2 linked regions of the Schizosaccharomyces pombe genome follow. Changing the gene in region 1 together with any one later gene gives a genetic interaction. Each region holds a gene or a part of one and is shown in the gene's direction. Other genes may lie near its edges.

Region 1 (7,380 bases):
TTACTTTTTTTTTCGTTTCACTCCAAATTGTCTCGAAAAGCTAATTGTTGAATTTTTTTTTCTCAACTTGCTGAAGTAAACATTACCTCCCTTTTTAATCTTTGATTTCTATTTATACATCTTTTCTTATACGACAAAGACATCCACCAGTTGATTTTCTCTTGTCTCTTTAATTTCTTTTTTCCGTCTACTTTTCGTCTATCATACTCAGTTCTTGTTTATTCTCTCCTCTTTAATTGCTCCTTCCATTTCATTTCACTTTCTACTCGATTTTTACTTCTCAAGTTGTTTCTTTATTTAGATAACTTTCAAATTCTCCTCTTTACATACTTATTGTTTGTCTTGCTACGTTTAACTTATTTTTCTTTGATTTTTTTCCTGCTTGTCCCATTGTTTGTTTACCTCGCTCCCAATTTTCCTCACCGGCAATTGCTAATTAAAATCCATAAAGTTATCTAACCGATCTATTACGTTAGATATCTTAATTTGGGTTTAACTTTCTTGCTGAATAATCTTCAACGCTACGCTATTTTTCAGTGCTTAACAAAGTGAAATTTTTTATTCCTAAAAAATTCTCTTTCCTAAGTTGCAAGCATTTTCAACTGCGTTACCAGCTTTTCAGAACCTGCGCACAACCAACCACCGTAAAATTTAGTTTGGAGGGTTCAATCCTATTTTTTTCCTTCTATATTAGCAGTTTTTTTGCAGAAGTCGAGCTTTTTACTAAGCCTCGTCTATTTGCCAGCGAAACAAGCATTCCTTGGTCGGGTTTTGCTAGAAGTGAGTGTTAATAAGTCTTTTTCCTGTCTCTTGGGTAAATTTCTTATTGTTGAGCATTCTTTATCTCTTTTTCATTTTTTTTTATCGTTCTTCCTTTGTATTCTTCTTTCCTTGAAAGGAGTACTCAAGAAATCGATTACAAAACTCGAAAAAGACTTGATTAGGTAGAATAGCAAAGGAGTTAAAAATTTTTTTTTTAATTCTTCAATTTGCTTTCCTTTTCGAAATTCTTCAGCAATGTCGTTTCCTTATCAGCACACTTCACGTTCTCAAGTTCAGCCTCCTTTGGCTGCCCCCGGCTTGAGTATGTTTGCTCCTGTTTCGTCCAGCAATAGTGCAAACTCTGCTTCTTCGGTTGCTGCTTTGTTGAGTCATGCTCCTATGTATGGTCTTGGCCAGCGTCGTCCGTCCTTCTTACCTGGCGTTTCTGTGCCCGATACGCTTTCGGTAAGGTCGGGCTTCTCCATCCCTTCCTCCTCTCATCATCCTTCCGCTGTTCCTTCCCTTCTGTCGCAGCACCGTTTACAGCAACCTCAACCACGTCTCTACCCTTCTGCGCCTCTAAACTATTACTGGCCATCTTATCAGTCGGTTCCATCTGCCGCACCTCCACCACCCTCCCAGCAACGCTATATGCCTGACTCTGCCGTTGCCTATAATCCTAACCAAGATCAATTTGGCAATTCGGTGAATGTATCAGCTGCATGTAACAACGTTTCCGCCCCTTTGATTGCTAACAATTGTGCTCCTTCCTTTTATCAGTCTCGACATCCCGTAGCAGATGTGCCTGTAACCAACAATACCGCCACTACTACCTCCGAGACTGATAATACAATCCCAGGTAATCTTAACATGCCTTCGGTTGCTAACGTTCAACAACGTATTTCTCCTGTCTGCAAAACTAACATGGAGGATCAGGAAGAAACCGTTTATACCGGAGGTGTTGCTGCTAAACTGGATTACAAGATGGATCAAATGGTGGAATACTTGTCTATCATGACTTGTAAGTTGTATGCTCGTTTCCTGAATAATGCTCAAATGCATTCTCTTGCTAACTCTTTACCTGGTCTTGTGTTTTCTTTCCGTAAGGTCGTTACACAAATTTTGACGTCTACGCGTTTACCTCGTGCCTCTTGCTTGCTTGCCTTGTCATACCTTTCCGATCGTCTTGACGCCGCATCTCAAACGACTGATTTTGTAAACCAGTGGACTAAGGAGTCGTTATTCTTCCAAATATGTGCTCTTTTAACGACCGCCTTGATTTTGGCTAATAAGTTTTTGGATGACAATACGTTTACCAATCAATCCTGGTCGCAAGTTACTGGTTTCCGTACTGCCTTGTTGAACAGCTTTGAACAAGACTGGCTAGCTAGCATGTCCTGGAATCTTAGTCCCGGTCCTCGTGGTCAAAAGGCATGGGAGTGGTGGAGTGCTTCTTATTCTTTGTTTACTTCCTCAAACGCTACATACTCTGGTGAACAAAAAACTTATAGCCCTACTACGTTGAGCACCAACGCACCACCATCGCCCTCTTCTGGACGTTCTTGCTCTAATTGCAACTACTATTATCCCTATACACCCGTGGGATATTATCCAGTGTACAATCGCTATGCAATGACTTAGTGATCGTGCTTACTTTCTGCGGGTGTTGTTGCTTGACGGGGTTTGTTTTTCGTTTCCTTGCGCTTATAAACACTTTACGTGTTTTTGTTATTCTTGTAACTTTTTTCTCTTTTCATATTGTATGACGGGAACTTTTGTTTAACCCGTCATATTGTATTCTCTAATCATCTCCGTGATGAATTCGGCTCTCTTGAAATTAATTTGCCGTTTGATCTTGCTTTTCTACTTTCTTATTTTTTCAAATTTTAACAGAGAAAAAAAAAATTTCCCAAAAAAAATTGAAAAGTAGTATACCGAAAAAAAGGAACCAACTTCTTATCAGTATCTGTTTTATTTTTGTCGTTGGACTTTTATTTTGCTTTCTCGTGTGGCTTTGTTATCTATTGGAATATCTTTTGATGCAATTCTGATTTGTTAATACTGCTTGATGTATATACATCCGCTACTACTATAGGGATCGCGGATTTCCTTTTTAAAGTTCGCCTTCAAAAATTAGTAGTCTACTTATACAACTAGCTTCATCAAGAAATACATTGTGAATAGATGAAAAGGCCCATGGATGCTTTGAGTTTATTTTTCTGTTTCATTAGCAAAGATTTTACTTCGGGCATCGTTTTTGTCCTTATTTTGTTTATTTTTTCTCCTTTTGATACTTAAATGAGAAACCTTTGCTTGCTGTTTTCTAAGGATTAAGCATAAAATTTTTTATTGCGATTTTCCAACTCCCAAACTGTTTGTTATGATTACCTAGTTTTATTGCGCATTCGTCGTATGTCTACTAGTGAGATAACGGATTTATATAATCTCTTATACTTGATTCTGTTGCACTGAATCGTGCTTTTTAATTCTGAATTATGTTGTCTTTGAATGTTTTCCGTGTTTCTAAAAATTGCATAATCGTTATTCTTCTGTCTAGATTCTGCATTGTTAAGCTACCAAGAAGCGGCGAAGCGTTTGCATCTATCTAATCGTGTAGGCATCATATCAAACGTTTGGTATTATGGTTACAAAAATTGCTTTCCAAAAAAACAATAAATTCTGTTTTATCAATAATCTCTCAACTTTTATAAGTGAACGCGTCCATCCTAGTTCTGATGCCAATAAAGTGTAAAGTAAGTTTAATTTGTAATATTATTTTTTTGTCAAATTTCTGAAGACTTTAAAGTAAGCGTTCAACATCGCTAAATATATTTAGGAATCTACAAAATAATAATTTTAAATATCGACACCTTGTGTACTACCCTTACCTAGATCCTGATCAGTTGTAAACCCCACCCGCCACTTTACCACCTAACAACAACTAACTACCCAACAGTAACTCGATAAAAATGTCTATGGAATTAGATCAGTCCTTGGACGCCATAATTGCTTCAAAGCCTAAAGGAGGTATTAGAAAGCGTCGTGCGCGCTCTAACAAGCCAAAGCCAACAAAGAACGCGAAACCCGCAGTGAACACTGCCTCTGCCCTTAAATCCGTCATTTCTGAGGAATCTAAAATTATTGTTTCTAACTTACCTACTGACGTTACCGAGGCTCAAGTTAAGGAGCTTTTTGTGAAATCCATAGGACCTTGCAAACGCGTTTCCTTGGCTTACGGTCCCAACGGTCGTTCGAAAGGTATTGCAACTATCATTTTTTCTCGTCCTGGTGATGCCACTCGAGCTTATGAACAGTATGAGGGTCGTTTGGTTGATGGCACTAGAAAAATGAAGGTTGAGATAATCCTTGATCCTAGTCGTCAATTGAATTCTTTGGCTGCACGTGTAAGTCCTGCCAGCAACGCTAGCGCCACTGCTAGCAAGAATGGCGCCAAATCTTCCAAGCGGAAGACTACACGCCGCCGTAGAACTCCTAATCGTCCTAAAAAATCCGCCGAAGAGCTCGACAAGGAGATGGATGATTATTTTGGATCAAATGAGAAGGAGTAACTTTAATAATTTGAAGATTCTACTATATATACATATATTTTGAAGATGTCAAATGCTTCTTGGTATTAATAACGACCTATACAACATACTCCCTCAGTTAAATAATATTGGCAATATAATGCTGTTTCGAATGGCAGTTCTTGAAGTTGTTTTTGTGTTTTGGGTCTTTCGTAATGGATTTGGAGAAGTGAGCTGAACCAGTTCTTGTTAGTATATATGGTGTGTATTGGGTCATATTGCCATTATGCCATTATTTCAAAGAATTTCATTAAATTTTTTATTTATATCTCTTTTTTGATAGACATATATGTTTCATTGACATCGAACGAATTTGGTTACTTATTTCTTTTTCGGTGGTTAACGTTGGGTTGGAGGTTTTGACTTTTGCTAACTTTTGACATATCTGTTGATTTGTAGTATGCAAGCTTAAACGCTACCAAGAAGCTAAGCTTTGAGTCGAGTTCATTATTAGCATATCTGTTCACCTGTTATGTTTGCAACTTTATCAGCTCTTGTGCAGAAATCCTTTATGGTTGATAAGCGCTCCCTTCTTGTTTAATACAAAAGCAAAACCTATGTAGACAGTGGTTAAAAGAGGTGGATAATGGTAGCTTCGGCTACTGTTACTTTATTTAATCTAAGTTACTGTACAAGGCAGCTGTTTTGATCATCATGTTGCTAAACTATACTGGGTTGAGCTTACCGACAGGGTTTATTATTGCATGTTTGCTGAAAGTCAAAGCTTCCATACCCCAACTTGACTGTGTTTATTATGTTCATGATGGTTTTTGGTTCACGTCACACTTATTCCAAGTCTTGTTTTACTATATGTGGCACGGCTTGTTTGGATGAGGAATTTCTATTCGTAAAATCATCGCGTTCGATGGCTCTATTTCATCTTTGTCAAATTGTACATGACAGAACTGGCTTCATTCCTTCCTTTGTATGTAAACCACATTTATAGAACTTTTCCACGATTGCATTTTAAACTCGCTGATTGATGAATTACGCGCAATGCATTCTTTTGAAACTTTTAAACCCTAGTCACTTCCATTCCCGTTTTTTTTGCTTCCGACGTTTATTATTATTTGTAAATTATTGTTATGGTTGAATTGCCGACCGTATCTCGAAATTTGTTTTGGTAAACATTGCTTGGTTTTATGTTCGAACCATTGTCACATCAAACAATTTAAATTGAAGTCCCACACATATATTTTTGGCACTTATAATTTTGATTTTTTTGAAAGATCTGTACGATCCGTCGTGATTGTGTTACAAACCAAAAATCGCTTTCAGAATGCGCATTTGCGGGTTGCTAATTTTAGTGCGCGATTCTTGCCGTCCTCTGAAACCGATTGAAACATTGAAATTGTTAAAACAGTACTTTACGTTCGTACCTTAAACCAGTAGTATCTGAACGGTGGTTAACGACATTTGTATTGCAGATAAAGAGAAAGATTATTATTCACTTGCTACACATGGTTTATACGAAAGTTTTAGATTTTAATATCTGATTACAATTTCTCGTCGATATTTAGACTCCTTGTGGAACTCGTATATGTACGTAAGTGTTATTTAATAGATATCTGAATCTGTGCCGGGTGAGAATTGCAATACCTATATAAACAAGCAGCCTTTACGAATTTTTTGGCAGCTTCATTTTGGTAATGAGATTTAGTGAAACTAATATCGGTTATAAAGTGTATAGTTATATTGTTACGTCAAAGAGCACGAGACTAAGGGAGGCAGGTTAAACGTAAATGCTACCAACTTTGAACTTAGAAGTTATACGTTGTACAACCACTTTCCTGCATTTATGGAATATTATACCTCGAAGGAGGTAGCAGAATGGTTGAAAAGTATCGGATTGGAGAAGTATATCGAACAATTTTCACAAAATAACATTGAAGGACGACACCTAAATCATTTAACCTTGCCTTTACTGAAAGACCTAGGCATTGAAAACACCGCCAAAGGCAAACAATTTTTAAAACAAAGAGACTATTTACGAGAGTTTCCACGTCCATGTATACTGAGGTTTATTGCCTGTAACGGGCAAACTCGAGCAGTTCAATCACGAGGAGATTACCAGAAAACACTCGCTATTGCTTTGAAAAAGTTTAGCCTTGAAGATGCTTCAAAATTCATTGTATGCGTTTCACAGAGTAGTCGAATTAAGCTGATTACTGAAGAAGAATTTAAACAAATTTGTTTTAATTCATCTTCACCGGAACGCGACAGGTTAATTATTGTGCCAAAAGAAAAGCCTTGTCCATCGTTTGAAGACCTCCGCCGTTCTTGGGAGATTGAATTGGCTCAACCGGCAGCATTATCATCACAGTCCTCCCTTTCTCCTAAACTTTCCTCTGTTCTTCCCACGAGCACTCAGAAACGAAGTGTCCGCTCAAATAATGCGAAACCATTTGAATCCTACCAGCGACCTCCTAGCGAGCTTATTAATTCTAGAATTTCCGATTTTTTCCCCGATCATCAACCAAAGCTACTGGAAAAAACAATATCAAACTCTCTTCGTAGAAACCTTAGCATACGTACGTCTCAAGGGCACAATCTTGGTAATTTTGGTCAAGAAATTTTGCCAAGAAGCTCTCGGCGGGCTCGCCCTTCCGAATTGGTTTGTCCTCTTTCCTCTCTGAGGATTTCTGTTGCTGAAGATGTTAACCGACTTCCTAGGATTGATAGGGGATTTGATCCTCCACTTACTGTATCTTCTACTCAGCGTATTTCTAGACCACCATCGCTTCAAAAATCCATAACCATGGTTGGTGTGGAACCTTTATACCAGTCCAACGGAAATGAAAAATCGTCGAAGTATAATGTTTTTTCAGAAAGCGCGCATGGCAACCATCAAGTACTTTCCTTTTCACCTGGTTCATCCCCATCATTTATTGAGCAACCATCCCCAATTTCTCCAACTTCCACTACAAGTGAGGACACAAATACACTTGAAGAGGACACTGATGATCAGTCTATCAAATGGATACGTGGTGCGTTAATAGGTTCAGGATCGTTTGGACAAGTTTATCTCGGT
Region 2 (6,406 bases), 660 kb from region 1:
CACCATTTTAGTGCCCCAGTGTGGGAACTTAATAGATACAACAGAGATAACGATAAGGTGAACAAATATGAAATGCATCTAAACGTTAAACGACATACAGCATGTGCATTGTTAATACCCGTGGAGAAGACAGAGCAAAGAACACTAGGATTTTTTCTTTTATCCACGGCACAATCAACTATGATATTTCACATTACAGCCATAATAGTGACAAAATAGAAATGAACGTAGCTTGTTAAACCCATTGAGTATCCTGTCCGACAAACAAGCTGTCCCTATAACACTAAAAAATGGAAGAAATTTCGATAATTCAAAATTAAGTAAACAGCAGGTTTTTAAAACCCACGAATACAACCAAAATTTACACAAGACAGACAAATACAACCAACACATAACATGAATAATATTAAAATGAATTAAAAAACATTAATGAGTCATACAAAAAATTTAAAACTTATACTACAAAGCAAAAAGCTATCTGAACTACCGACCCACAGAAAAAGTATCAATATGACTATTCCTGTAAGGGCACTAAGATGTCCAATATGGCTCTGGCCCACGTATGACGCTCAAACCATTCCATGGAAAAAGAAAAAGAAAAGTGAGCAACACGAATTGTGGGCGTCGGTATATAACCGCACGATAGGGAAACTTCAACTTAACAAACTCACGTTTATAGACCTTTGTGACTGTTTTTTAAACCCTACCCTTTTAAGTAATTTGTTTGCTGCATTTTCAGGTTATTATCCTATTGAGGTTACGATAATGTCAAGGAAAGTATAAAACAAGTGCTGTTCAAAATAAATAAATGAAAATAAAATAACACTTTTTTAATCGATTTCTGTAGAAATTTAGTCCTTTCATTTTTTAAGTTGACCCTTCATTGTTATACAACAATTAATTATTCTATACGTATATATTATATATATTGTCTACATCAATAACTGAGCAGAATTGAGCATTATACTGGATAGAAAATAAAAAAAATAAGCAGGCATTTTTTCACAAGTAAGTACATATTTTTATGATATGAATTGATAAAGGTGCAGGCGATCATATTGTTAGTTAATAATAAAAAATTGTAAATAGTAATTTTGCTTCTCCATTAAAATGAATACATAAATTTAGTAGATAATCGATTTAAACAAAAAATAGATATCCAAGCCAAAAAAAAAATAAAAAAAACCAAAAAATGTTTATTTTTTTTGGCTCATGAAACCCAGATTTATCAAAAACTTACGTTGCTTAGTGCTCAATCTCTTTAAACATGCAATAAAACAAGAATTAGCGGGACACATATATTGATATATTGCTTAAGGAATTAGTGTTCGGAAGTCTTACTGACTAAACTGTTCTTTACTTCAAAATTTACTCCTGAATTTTCATGTTAATGGAGGTCGAATTTTAGGTGGTCGATTGAGTTATATCAATAGTGATTTTACAAAAAAACAGTAAACGATTTTATATTAGCCTCATATAAATTTTTTTGAATTTCAATAAAATAAACTAAAACAAAAAATGTATTTCCACAAATTCCATCGATACAAGCATAGCAAAAGACGAATAACGCATTTAACAGTTTCTCGTTATATCACAAATAGTCTAACTGTTTAACGCAGTTTTGCGCGTACACATCTCTACTCCTTATACTTGTCCTATTACTATTGAAGTTAAAAATGTTGAATTAAATTCCACTTACTCTCTTTCTCTTCACACTTACTACTCAACATAATTGCAAAATGTTGCGTAGAAAGCGGGAGCGTCGTAATGCTGTTAAAGAGAATGAAATGGTAATTGATACACCATTGGAGAAACGCCGTACACCAGGCAAACCTCGTGCCACGCGTGAACCCCCGATATCCGTAGTTATTACTGGTCATTCCAAGGGTTCTGAGGACGACTTAATAAGCTTTGTTTGGAGAAAAGTCAAGGTTCGTCTAATGAACATTTCATATTCTCCGGCTTCGGTCACTGCCGTAGTTAAAAGCCAAGACTTTAGTCGTTTGAACGGGTTAAATGGTGCGGCTTTTGCTGGTGATCATTTGGCTATACGAAGGGTCGATGGAGCTTCTAACGTTACTCAAGATTATAGAAAAGCAAAGACAAAACGATCATTTCGTTCTGTTTCAGCTCCTTCATTATCTGCATTAGCAACACAAGCCCAGAGAAATGTTTCAAAAACGTTACCACAATCCACAAATGAGACCATTGAAAAGTTACGCCAGTTTTTGCAAACCCGTTATCAACCTGCTACTAAATTCTTGGACCTCGGAAATTTGCAACAAGATCCTCTTTTAAAGCAAATGGGGATTTTAGCAGAGGCTTCTACTAAGAGTAAGATGTTTCCAGCGTTAATGAAGGTTGCTTCTTTAAACTTTCCAGACGTTATATCAGTTAGTTTGTCGGATAACAACTTACAATCGGTGACTGCCGTAACCACTTTAGCACAAACATGGCCTAAACTTTTAAACCTTAGTCTTGCTAATAACCGGATTACTTCTTTATCTGACTTGGATCCATGGTCCCCCAAAACAAAGCTTCCCGAACTCCAAGAGCTTGTTCTTGTCGGAAACCCGATTGTCACAACCTTTGCTAATCGTGCTATGGATTATCAACGGGAAATGGTTTCGCGTTTTCCGAAGCTTCGTCTTTTAGATGGTAACAGCATAAATTCAGAGATTATCGCCTCTCAATCTACCGTCCCTTTTCCGGTTTATCAATCTTTCTTTGATAAGGTTGAAACCGAACAAATAGTCAATTCTTTTTTGGCTGCGTTCTTTAAAGGTTGGGATGAGAATAGAAGTGCACTTGTCAATCAATTATACAGTCCAAATGCTACCTTCTCAATCTCTCTGAACGCTTCAAACGTTAGAACGAACTTTTCTCAGAAAACAGACACTAAAAAATGGGGAGCTTACAAAATGAAAAGCAGAAATCTACTTTACTCACAATCACAGAAGGAGTCGAAATCTCGTTTATTTAACGGGCACGAAGAAATAAGCAACGCTGTAAAATCCTTACCTGCTACGGCTCACGATTTATCAGACCGTTCGCAATGGGTTTTTGATGGTTGGAACCTGGTTCTGCCTTCGGTTGGTGCAGCCATCAAAATTGTTGTCCATGGGCAATTTGAGGAACCACAAAACAAACGACTTCTACGAAGTTTTGATCGAACTTTGCTGATTTTGCCGGGAGGTTCCACAGGCATATTGATTATAAATGATTTATTAGTCATTCGTTCATTTGCTGGATCGCTCGGGTGGCTACCTGGTCAAAGCAGTGTACGAACAAGCAATAATGCCATGTCTGCGTCTGCTTCAAAGCCTAGTGATATTGTACAGCCAAGACCGGAACAAGCAATGTTAGACACTAGACAACAAATTGTATTAAAAATTAAGGCGGAGACAGGTTTAAATGATTACTATGCTCACATGTGTTGTGAGCAAAATAATTGGGATTACAACAGCGCTCTAGCATCTTTTTTGGAATTAAAGTCGCGAAATGTTATACCAGCCGAAGCATTTTCATGAACTTCTAGTGACGTGTATAGATAGATATGGTTAAAAAATTACAAACTGGGGAAATGGAAACTTTTATTTAATAATGGTACATATTGATGAAATGAATAAGTTAGATTTATACATAGTCGTTCGTGATCATTCTATAAAAGTATTATGGCGGTAATTAAATATAAGAAAGAACAATGGTAAAAGTAAGAGCCAAATATCCTTTTAATCCAAAACAACACTAACTTGATCTTCATCTTCAAGTTCCGTGCTTTGCACTTGATCGTTGGGATCTAACCATTCACCTTCAAATTCTAATCTAATGCGTTCATGAAAACTAATCTTTACTTCAGTACAATATCTCTTAATCAAATCTTTAACAGTGAAATCGACGGGTATTGAGAGACGAAGATCCTCACTCTTACTCGAACGCAAAAGCAACGTTATAAGTTTACACGTTTGAGCAGTTGAATCTTCAGTTACCGAGGATAACTTTTCCACTTCCAATTCTTTTATTCTTTTGAGTGATATAAAATCCGAGTGACAGTAGGCATGCACAACCAAACGGGTATCGACTTTAAGCATACCAGCGCCCTTTGGGGTTCCATAATCCCATAATCTTTGATTTTGAAATACAAGAACAACGTTATCTACTTTTTTTCTTTCAGAGTACGCTATTCTGACACGACGAAACTGTTGGTTCGACTTAACTTTGAAAAATAACGGTGCCTCCCAGTCCCGGGGAAGAGAGATATTGCTGTTTGGAATTCTCTGTCCAATTACGGCTAACTGGAGAACGACGGAAATAACTGGTTCATTTGTTGAGAATTCCGATTTGGAGTGATACAGCGTTGAGTGGTCACTTTTTGAATGCTTTAAAAGGGGCACATCAGCCGAAGTATTGTCATCGTCTTCTTCAATTTCTCTCTTATGCGTGTGAATTTGTACATCCATATCACTTGATGATTTTTCAAACTCCTGAACTTGCCGATCAATTTCCTCTAACCTACGAGCAAAGTCATCGTCCAGCAGTGATGAAGTCGTAGAAAGCGCAGCCTCACTATTAATGCTGTTGTTTCGCAAGTTAGCGGCCGCCCTAGTATTATAAACTGGTGAAACCGGTTGTGTTACACAGGAGATAGCACTTTTGGGTGAGTGCCTACCTTCATTCAAACACGCATTAGGAGTAGTGTCTGAAACGTCTTGGTTGCCTTCATCAGCATCTAAAATAGTGGATTGACGAGATAAAGGTTCGGCACTTTTGTTTTCATTATGAGTTATATTTTTCTGTGCATTTATGTGTTCTAATGCTTGTTTATTGGTATCAAGTTCACTTTCCTCTTCTAGAATGTTGTAAGCAAGCTGACACTTTGCAATCGGAATTAAAACTTACCAGAATCTGAGGAAGAGGCTATTAATTGCTTGGCATAGTTTAATGGAGGCTTTTTAATAGGCTTTGAGAAGAATGCTAAGTCATCTTCATCTAGGTTGTCCATTTGGCGAGTTTTAGCAATTACGGTGGTTCCACAAAGCTTCTTATGGATTTAACGAGAATTTGTAGCGACACACCTTAAACTAGGTAATTTTTAGCTTAGTTTTGTTTTCACTCAAGTTTATTACAAATCGATTTTGAAAGTTATATAATAATTTTATAATTCAATTGAAAAAGTTCAATGAACATTCCTCCAACTCATCTTCGAAATGAAGTTTGTTTACTTACGCAAAACCCGATCTTGTCCACTTAGCAAACAGATTTAAGTCTATAGAATTTCATTTTTTAGGTTAAGTAATTTGAAAACTCTTTGCTTCTTGTACTGAGACATTAGGTTTGATGAATTTCAATGACATTGGCTCACCTTACGACGGCTACATTGCGTCCGTCCATTACTGCCATTCATAATTTGTTCTTCATTCGCTAAATAAATTTTATTTAGTTCAGATAAAACCAAATTGTTGTACTATTAGAGATACAATGAATAGGTTTAATCAGCCGATATTCCTATATTCAGTAGTAGACTATTCAGGTACAAGATATAATACTAAACAATAATATGTAAACAAAATCGAATATTATCAAGTTAGTCCCCGTTACTTTATATTGATCATTAGAAAAACTTTACACTATACTGTATTGGTAAGTGAGAGATAATTTTAAAAAATTGAAGAGTATCTTTTTAAGATTATATAATGAATTAAGCTATATGATCGCAATCAATAAGATTATGAAGTACGTTACACTATGCTAGATTTATGAAAGTGTTTACTACCAACACAAGCTTAGGTTTTGCAAGCACAAGAAGGGCAGTCACAGCTTAAGCAAACGGTAAGGATCACCACACTAAGAGTTCCGCCTTTACCAAGTCAAAATGCCTGCTCAGGGACACAGATTGTACGTTAAAGCTAAACATCTCTCTTTTCAAAGAAGCAAACATGTTATCCACCCAGGAACTTCTTTGGTAAAGATTGAGGGATGTGATTCTAAGGAAGAAGCCCAATTTTACCTAGGCAAGCGTATTTGCTTCGTCTACAAAAGCAACAAGCCCGTTCGTGGATCCAAGATTCGTGTCATTTGGGGGTAAGTTTATTTTTGTAATTAAATTCTTGCGTTTCTTTGGAGAATATGAAGAAACGTTAATGCTATATTTTCACGGTCGTTTTTTGTTGGCTAAACGAATACATTCAAAACCTTTACTAATTACGTTTTAGAACTGTTAGTCGTCCTCATGGAAATTCTGGTGTTGTTCGTGCTCGTTTCACCCATAATCTTCCTCCCAAGACCTTTGGTGCCTCTCTCCGTGTCATGCTTTATCCCTCCAATGTTTAAATAAAATATTTTTATGTTCACAACAATTCTTCTGCTTCTTAGATTTATTTTATTTAGGGAATCCCATTTTATCGAA

The links. A genetic interaction does not mean that the proteins touch.
Region 2: mutations in mlo3 (region 1) and mex67 are lethal when combined (synthetic lethality), as found in Schizosaccharomyces pombe (one study listed by BioGRID).

Annotation. Positions count from the first base shown.
Region 1 is NC_003423.3:1,741,064-1,748,443, reverse strand, and holds mlo3 (RNA-binding protein Mlo3), read left to right. Parts: upstream 1-3,695; 5' UTR 3,696-3,731; coding exon 3,732-4,331; 3' UTR 4,332-4,476; downstream 4,477-7,380. Other genes in the region: cyclin Clg1, read left to right, coding at 1,018-2,403; MAP kinase kinase kinase Byr2, read left to right, coding at 6,148-7,380. UniProt on the Schizosaccharomyces pombe protein: Has a role in the mRNA export process. Interferes with mitotic chromosome segregation when overexpressed.
Region 2 is NC_003423.3:2,405,428-2,411,833, reverse strand, and holds mex67 (nucleoporin Mex67), read left to right. Parts: upstream 1-1,712; 5' UTR 1,713-1,739; coding exon 1,740-3,530; 3' UTR 3,531-3,682; downstream 3,683-6,406. Other genes in the region: SPOM_SPBC1921.04C (uncharacterized protein), read left to right, coding at 430-783; DNA repair protein, SUMO-related Rad60, read right to left, coding at 3,732-4,849, 4,900-5,002; rpl35A02 (60S ribosomal protein eL33), read left to right, coding at 5,873-6,081, 6,213-6,330. UniProt on the Schizosaccharomyces pombe protein: Involved in the export of mRNA from the nucleus to the cytoplasm.